Linked DNA regions of Ovis aries. The protein of the gene in region 2 purifies or fractionates together with the protein of the main gene of each other region. This does not show direct contact. Links are inferred from orthologs where the notes say so. Each region holds a gene or a part of one and is shown on either strand. Other genes may lie near its edges. The genes, in order: RPP25L and IBTK.

Evidence for each region.
Region 1: the proteins of IBTK (region 2) and RPP25L purify together in Homo sapiens (co-immunoprecipitation; 3 studies listed by BioGRID and IntAct, with this or other methods). This does not show direct contact. The link is inferred for Ovis aries from reciprocal best matches to the Homo sapiens genes IBTK and RPP25L.

What each region holds. Positions count from the first base shown.
Region 1 is NC_056055.1:36,953,989-36,958,298, reverse strand, and holds RPP25L (ribonuclease P protein subunit p25-like protein), read right to left. Parts: upstream 2,982-4,310; 5' UTR 2,939-2,981; exon of another isoform or gene 2,901-2,938; intron 2,188-2,900; exon of another isoform or gene 2,185-2,187; 5' UTR 2,155-2,184; coding exon 1,663-2,154; 3' UTR 783-1,662; downstream 1-782. UniProt on the Homo sapiens protein: May be a component of ribonuclease P or MRP.
Region 2 is NC_056061.1:9,384,087-9,388,335, forward strand, and holds the start of IBTK (inhibitor of Bruton tyrosine kinase), read right to left. Parts: upstream 2,847-4,249; 5' UTR 2,673-2,846; intron 1-2,672. UniProt on the Homo sapiens protein: Acts as an inhibitor of BTK tyrosine kinase activity, thereby playing a role in B-cell development. Down-regulates BTK kinase activity, leading to interference with BTK-mediated calcium mobilization and NF-kappa-B-driven transcription.

The DNA.
Region 1 (4,310 bases), on a different chromosome or scaffold from region 2:
AGGGCAATGAACATTTACAGTCATCCCTCAGTATCCTCAGGGAACTGTCTCTAGGAGCCCCTGTGAATTTCTTTTTTCACCAAAATACTCAAGTCCCTTAAATAAAAAGGTGGAGTACAATCAGCTGTTTGTATCCACGCGTTCTACATCCACAGATATGGAGAGCTGAGGGTATACAGGCTCAGGTGATATCTAAGAATCATATGTATATTTCTACATTTAATCCTCATAACAATCCTTCAAGGCAAGCACTACATCTTGTTCTATGGATGATGAGAACACTAAAGCGCAGAGCAGTAACTACCTAATAAGTGGCAGACCCAGGATTCAAATCCAGACAGCTTGGTGACCAAGGCCATGATCTCAACCACTATATTGTAATATAGGCATACTTCACAGAGACATTTGGGTGCAGTCCCAGACCACCTCAATAAAAGGAAGATCTCTATAGTGCAAGTCACAGAAGTTTATTGGTTCCCCAGTGCTTAAAAAAGTTATGTTTACTCTAAGAAGTGAAGTGAAGTCGCTCAGTCGTGTCTGACTCTTTGCGACCCCGTGGACTGTAGCCTACCAGGCTTCTCTGTCCATGGGATTCTCCAGGCAAGAATACTGGAGTGGGTTACCATTTCCTTCTCTAGGGGATCTTCCCGACCCAGGGATTGAACGCGGGTTTCCCACATTGGAGGCAGAGGTTTCAACCTCTAGCCACCAGGGAAGCCCTATATTGTAGTCTATTATGAATGTGACAGAATTATAGCTAAAAAACAATCTACATATATACCTTAATTTTAAAATATTTTATTGCTAAAAAATGCTAACCATCATTTGAGTTTTCACTAAGTTACAGTAGTAACATCATAGATCACTATAACAAATATAATAATTAAAGTTTGAGATATTTTGAGAATTACCAAAATGTGACAGAGACACGAAATGAACACTGTTGGAAAAATGGTGTTGCCAGACTTGTTCAGTGCAGGTCTGCCACAGAACTTCACTTCTTCTGTAAGAAATGTAGTATCTGCGTGCAACAAAATGAGGTATGTCTCTATGCTGCAGGTGGAGAAAAATGCAGAGTCCTTCAACCAGCCCCAAACAGGAAGCAGATAGCTACCCAGGGATCTAGACAGTCAGGTTACTGCTTGAGGCTGCATCTTCAGTCCAGATCCTCCCAGCACCCATCTGAACCTACTTTTCCTGTCTCCAGACTGGGAGCTCCTGGCGGTCAAGGGCAGGGACTCCCACTCCCTTAACCCTACTTCCACACAGCAGGCCAAGCAGAGGTTCATCAGACAGACAGAGCCTTTATTTCCTAACTCACTCCTTGGATCTCTGTCAGAAGACAGATGAGAGGCACTGTATGTAAAAGGCAGAGTAACCCTTCTTCTTTCTCTACATAATATTTTATTTTATTTATGCTGTGGCAAGTTGACCTACACATTGACTTAGGATGTTGCTTCTTAAGCAATCTAGAACCCGGCAGAGACTCCACACCTGTCACTCTTCACGAGAGTCCCTTTCCAGGAGCCAGAGGGAAGGGGAAGCAGGACAGGGAGGCCCACTTTCCTAAACTCAAGTTTTGTTGGAGACCTTGAGCAGTTAGAGGCTTCTCAAAGGTACAGCCATCCTAGACAGTCTAGACAACAGCTTGCCCACAGGTCCTCAGAACCGGGTATCTCGAGCCCTTCTTCTAGGCTGAGGGCCACAGCTGGAGGCAGGTGTGGGCCCGAGGTCAGGGGGTGCCCCAGGGGGCTGGTAGCCATACTCATTGGGGTCCAGGGGGTCTCGACTCAGCAGCACCCACACTGCAGGCACATGGCTGCGGACCGTGAGGGGATCCAGGCCCGTGTCAGGTGAGGTAGGCACCCAGCTGTCCTCGGTCTGCAGGAAGCGCAGCTTGGTAAGCTGGTACAAGCCTGGTACCCGCCGTTTGACAATCTCAGCACAGCTGACAGCCTTGCCTGCAGCGCGGCCAGAGCCTGAGAATACCACGTGGCGAGCGCTGCCGCCCTCCAGCCGCTCCAGCGCCAAGCCCAAGAGGTTGCGGATCTTGCTGCCAGCTCGGACCCGCATCTCCAGGGTATCAGGAGGCAGCTGGGGCATCGGGGAAGGTGCGGGGAGTTCCACAGAGCCAGCTTTCCGGTAGTGCTCCATCCAGCCTGCTGTCGTGTCCGCCTTGCTGCCCTGCTGCAGGGAAGTCAAAGGATGGTGGGCACTGTGTCCCAGGCGACCCCCACCCGAGGGTGCTGCTCCGCCCAGATTTCCCAGAAATGGGACTTTAAACCCCTCATCCCCAGGACAAGGAGTCATGCCTGCCTCCCCCTAGGGGGGCATGTACCCCAGTCCTCTGGACAGGGCCATAACCCTCCACCGACCCTGAACACCGGCCAAGCCTCTCCATCTCTAGCTCCCTGGCACTGGGAATGAACCTTTCTCATCTGGGGCTCCTGGGGACTGGATCCAGGCCCTCACCCGAGACTCCCTAAGCACAAGGCTGAGTGCTCCTCACCCTGGGCTCTCCACGGGGCGCCAGGGCAAAGGCGCCTCACTTCGTGCTCCCAGAGGTCAGGGCCAAGCTCCCCCCTCCCCGCCCCCCACACCCCATGCTCCACCAAACGGAGCCATGAGCCTTCATCCAAAAGCTCCTCAAAGACAGAAACGATCCTCTCCCCAACTCCTGGACCCCGAGGACAGGGTCGGGCACCCCTCTCTCATCCAGAGATTCCAGGGTCGATCCCCTCAACCGAGGGTCCCTCAGACACTGGGAAGCAGAGGCTTGACGCCAACGACTGCTCGGGCCACCCCTGGCGTCGGGGCCACGAGAGGCCGGGCTCCGTGGTGCCCACCGCCACGGGCCACCGCAGAGGCCCAGCACCCGGCCTTCCCTCTCCTCCTCGCACCTCTAGGCGCCCCTGCCCCGCAGGGCTCCGGCTCTCACCGCCGCGGCCGCGCACTCCCTACGCTCGATCTGAAGCCAAGATGGCGCGGGCCGAAAGCGCGCCGAGGTCGCGGGGCCGCGCACGCCGGACGGGGCGGGGCCTGAGGGGCCGGGTTCGCAAACCGAGAGGTTCCGGACGCCAGGGAGTGAGCTGGCCCCGGACGCGAGGATTCGCTGCACGCAGGGTGTCTTTGCTGTTCTGCCCCAGGCAAGGAGCATTCCTTTGCGAGCGGAGAGAGCGCTGCGGGGGAGAGGAGCGGCCAGCAGAGGAGTCCCGCGTCCGAAGTCCGCGTCGGAAGGATGCGGAGGATTTGGCCCTTAGAAGATTCAGGGCAGGCGTTACCCGCTGAGCACACCGCAGTAGCAGAGGCAGAGTGGCGGGTTTCTCTTTGGACCGGAGCTAGAGGTGCCGGGTGATGTGGCCGCTGCGGGGGCGAGAGCCTAGATCACCGAGTTCTGAACTTCAGCCTCACCCTGTGGGCACTGGCGACCCACAGGGGGCTTTCATCAAGGCGCAAGTCAGACTTGTTCGTGTGGGCAGCTCTCGGGCCTCCCTCTGGTGACTCCTGGCCGCACGTCCCAGGGGCATGTCCGCGGTGCTTCGTAAGTTGCCCTGCCTATACGTGCTCGAATATTTGATAAAGCATTTGTTGAAAGAATGAGCCAGAGAAACAACACTGGGAATGGGGAAAAGGAAATTAAGTTGGAAGATACTACGAGGTGGGTTTGGCGACTCTTCGGATGGAGGGAAGAGCCTAGGATGGCTCAGTTTCAGACTTGTTGGATTTGAGATGCCAATGAGACCGCGCCGGTACGGTGGCGGGCAGGTCGACGTAAAGGGGCCTGGAGCCGCAGCAGTCCCGGAGACCACAAGGGGACAGCAAACACTTGGTGGAGTGAGGTGCCATCGGTTTCTTTGCTAATATGCCAACTCTCCCTCCTTTCCAGCCACAGCACCGCCCCGCCCCGCCCCAGCCCAAAAGCCCTCTGCATCCTCTTTTAGGCTCCCCTTCTCTTATAGCATCAGGAGAGCAACATAGAGGCTCCCCTCTCCTTTGCACATGCTGCTCCCTTGGTTCTCAAAGACCCTGCATATCACTCTCCAGAGCTACCTGCCACATCCTTTTCTTCTGTGCCCCCAAAGAACCCTTGTGCCACATGGTTCCCTCCCCTTTTCCATGACTGTTTCCCCTGCTATCCTGTTCAGGGCAGGGATCAGGTGGACCCTACCTGTGACCTCCCCACCTGGTATGGCATCTGACATTTAGAGTGTACTTGGTAAATGTGGGATAAATAGATATAAAACCAAATGTTCCACTCACATCAAGCAAATGAGAGCATTCATCCTGAGAGCTCTATATCTCCCAGAAAG
Region 2 (4,249 bases):
TGGAAGGACTGATGCTGAAGCTGAAACTCCAATACTTTGGCCACCTGATGCGAAGAGCTGACTCATTTGAAAAGACCCTGATGCTGGGAAAGATTGAGGGCAGGAGGAGAAGGGGACAACAAAGGATAAGATGGTTTGGATGGCATCACCGACTCAATGGACATGGGTTTGGGTGAACTCCAGGAGTTGGTGATAGACAGGGAGGCCTAGCAGGCTGTGGTTCATGGGGTCGCAGAGTCGGACATGACTGAGCGACTGAATTGAGCTGAACAATTTCTCCCCTGTGGACAGAAACTCCATAAATACCAGAAACTCCATAAAAGCAGGACAATGGAAGAGTCTGGGCCCTTCCCAGATAAGAAATAAAAGACCGCTTATTCCTCATTCTTGAAGTTAAGGCGACCTTGCGGTCTACACATGAAAGGCTCCTTAGAGGTCAAAAAGGGAGGAGGCATCACCTCACAGTAAGTGATGTCAACTACCCATAAGCCTCTGCACTAGAATCCATCTTGGCTAAGAGATGAGCAGGCACACATGGGAAGTTTCTAAGCTATACTAAATACAGACTCAGAAGCAGGCAAATCAAAATGACTGGCAAAATGAAACCCGGAAGGCCTAAAAAGTAATTCAAACTACCATGAGGGCACAACTCTTTTCTGCCTAATAAATACATGTTTCACTTGGGAAAAAAAAAAAAAAATTGGATTCCTACCATCTAAAACCCTGTTCAAGTAGCTTAATCTCCCTAATCCAAATTTCTTCATCTGTAAAATGATAACAACTTGCCTTATGAGTGGAGACCTTGCCTACAAAGATTTTAAGTTCCTGAAGGGTGGGAAGGGAATGCCATACTAACCTATATTTCCCACAAAATTATAATATGTATTCAACCAGTAGGATTTTTTTTGAAGAGCTCTCTAAAATCAAAATATCCTCCCTAAAGACTTGTATCTATGTTAACTGTTACAAAGCTACAAATTATAGTGACTTATAATCAAAGAATATTTAAAATTTTAAATTCCTTCTGTAAGCCCTGAAAATATTTCACCTAATTTTAAAACATCAAGACTTACTACTTTAGCAAATAATTTACCTTTATCAATACTGTATTTCATTCTAATGTTTTCTCAATTATTCTCTGGGTACAAGAGAAAAAATTCAACACTGTATTAGCACAAAACCCAGTTTCACAATTGAACAATTCCCCAAATTTAAGGGGGCAAGCACATCTCTGGAGATGGCAAAGAATTACCACCCTATTAATGATAATAATAGGTCCCTCCAGTGGTTAAGATTCTGTGCTCCACTGCAAGGGGTACAGGTTTTATCCCTGGTCCTAGTTGGGGAACTAAGATCCCACATGACACAGGACATGACCAAAAGATTAAAAATAATAATAATAAGCTAACTTTGAAATCATTTATAAAAATTAACCAAGTAACACTTAGCTCCTTATGTAATATGGTCTATTGAACTTTATGGTCTTGAAGCATAATGTACAATTTAGCATACTGAGAGCCATGGACACAAGTTTTTAAAAAATTTTTTTAAATAACAGAAGAGCCACTTTTTAAAATTCCTTGAAATAAGCTGCTTTGACTAAATATCTGTACTTTCTGCAAGGATCTATACTATAATTCTTTTTAGAAAGCAGCTCTTTCTGCCCTGTATCAGTTTCTAAAATCCATAAAAATCAAGGAATTCAAATTAGAAAGGGCAGGGACTTCCCTAGTAGTCCAGTGGCTAGGATGCTGGGCTCCCAGTGCAGGGAGTCCAGGTTTCATCACTGGTCAGGGAGGTAGATCCCAGATGCCCCAACTAAGACCAGTGCAGCCAAATAAATAAAAATTAAAAAGTTAAAAAAGGTGGGGGGGGGCAGTGAAAAGATCAAGGATCTATGGCAGGATATGAATTTGGACATCACGGGCATAGAAACACTGGTTCTTTTATCATTTCTGATAAATTTCGACTTTAAAACTCCCTACCTTCCATGCATGGGGGGGGGGGCCCGCAGGGGGGGGGGGGAGGTGTCACATCAATTTCTACTTCCTGACCTGTCTGGTGAACACCCTTTACGTTTTATTACCTACGCTGGAAATACGGATTCACGGAAATCCTGGGTTACTTATTTCGCTGCTGAACTAAAACTTTATTTTTGCTTTTAGAAATCCGCAACATGATACAAGAACAGAAGGCCTCTATCCTGTCTCCTCCATCCCCCAAGAAAAGAACGGGTCCCTTTCACAGAACAGTCGCTTCACTCTGCACTTCATCGTTAGCATCCCCAGAGTGAACCAAAACTTCTGTGACGCGACGAAGGGGCTGAGGGATACGGGCGCCTCGAGGAATGGCTTCACATTCACGCTCGAGGGACAGTGACAGGAGACAACCACCAGAAACGAGCAGCGCGACGTCGCTGGAAGGCGTGGCAGGAGAACCGCTAAGTAGCGCGCTGCCCGCACACACCATTCATTAGCTCGGGGAGGAGGCGGGGAGGTGGCCGCTGGGACCCGGGCCACACGGCCGGCCTCGCGCCGCCTCGCGCGGAGCCCGGCGGCCTCGGCGCCGCCGAGTCCCCTGCCCGCTGTCCCCCGCACCCTGCGGGAAGATCACACCGTCCCGTCGCCTCTGCCCGGCTCCATACGGCCGGGCGCGGCCGAAGCCTCCCTCACCAGTCGCTAGATGAAAATACGCCAGTGGTCTCCGCGGGGTGGGCGCACGGCAGCGCAGGGACTCATCCTCAGTGAAAGCAGCAGGAGAAAGCGAAGGGCGCCAGTGGAAGCCGGTCCCCAGGCCCGGGTCAGCTCTGAAGGCGGCTGCAGCTACAGCCGCGTCTACAGGCGCCTGGAAGGGGGGTGGGAGGTGGGTCCGGGAGGAAAGGCCGGCGCGGGCGGGACCTAGGAATAAGACGGGCGCTGATTGGTTGGGGCTCTTGTATGCCTCTTGAGGATTGGCTAGTGTCTGCTCAGAAGGCCTCGCGTGGCAGCACCGAAACTGTGGCCTTGCCCTGGCGCCCTAAAGGAACTTGACCCCGCCGGCCTTGGGACTGCCAGCGCTGGCGGGTGGGGGTGTGCAGAGGGGGACGGCGGGGTTGGGGAAGGCCGCGGTCGGGGACTCTTAAACCAACGGGGGTGGTGGAAATGTCCGCCTCGCGTCAGCTGTCGCCCAAGGAGAAATCCTGTTCGCCCCCACAGCCGGAGACTTGGCAGCTCACGATAAACCCTGGTGGAGAGACTGAACTTGGGGAACCTGGACGGATCCCTTGGTCATCACGCAACAGAAACCAAAGGCGTAGGCACCCGGCACCTGAGTTTCCTCCCCGACGCCCTACCAGTGGGGTCACTGAAAAGCTCAGGGCGCGGTCTGGCAGAGAGGCAGCATCGCGCCTCCCACACCCAGATGATCCGGGGGCGGGGGGTCACTCCCTGGGTCAGAAGGCGTCAGGGACTTCTTAGATCATGGCTGTGCGGGTCCAGCCGCCGACCCGGCGCCCGCCGGTCACTCTGCCTGACGCCAGGCTGGCTCTATCCTTTTTGCGGCCCTTTAACTCCGCACGGAAGGGCCGTTTTTTAAAACAGTCGCGTGAAAAATGAGGGAGGAAAAGCAAGCAGCCAATAATCGATACTAGGGTAGCGAAAAAGAAACACCCTGCCTGGGAATGCCTAATACTGTAGGGCCCGGTCAGTGTTTGTTCGGGGAGGGCTGGGTGACTCAGAACAAACAACTCGAAGTCAGGAGGTAGCTGTGCGGCTCTGCCACGTGGTCAGTTATACAAGCCATTTAATCTCTCTCATCTGTAAAACGACAGAGTTGGACTAAATGTCTTCTTTGGGACGGCCCATTCAGCTGAACTCATTCAGGAGCCTGCCTTGTGGAAGCCTAAAGACACCCAGCTGGTTAGTGAAGAGAATAACTAGCTCTGTTTTGTCTCTTCGCCCCTTATTCTAGGTGCCCTTCTTTGACAGGTAACAAAAACTAATTTATAATGTAAACATTAAAGTGATTTTGAAAATAAGCTATGTTTGATGACTTTTATATTCACGCACAAAGCAGCTAGCAATGGCAAGCAAAATAATGTAAATAAATGCACTGACCAAAAATCAAATATTTTATCAGTCTCTGAGCAAATTAATTGGCTTTTTGGAAGCCTCCATTTCCTCATTTGTAAAATAGGAGCAACAATGCAATTACCATTGTGAACATGTAATTATATAGAGACATATTGCACTTAGCAGAGTGCCTGAAACAC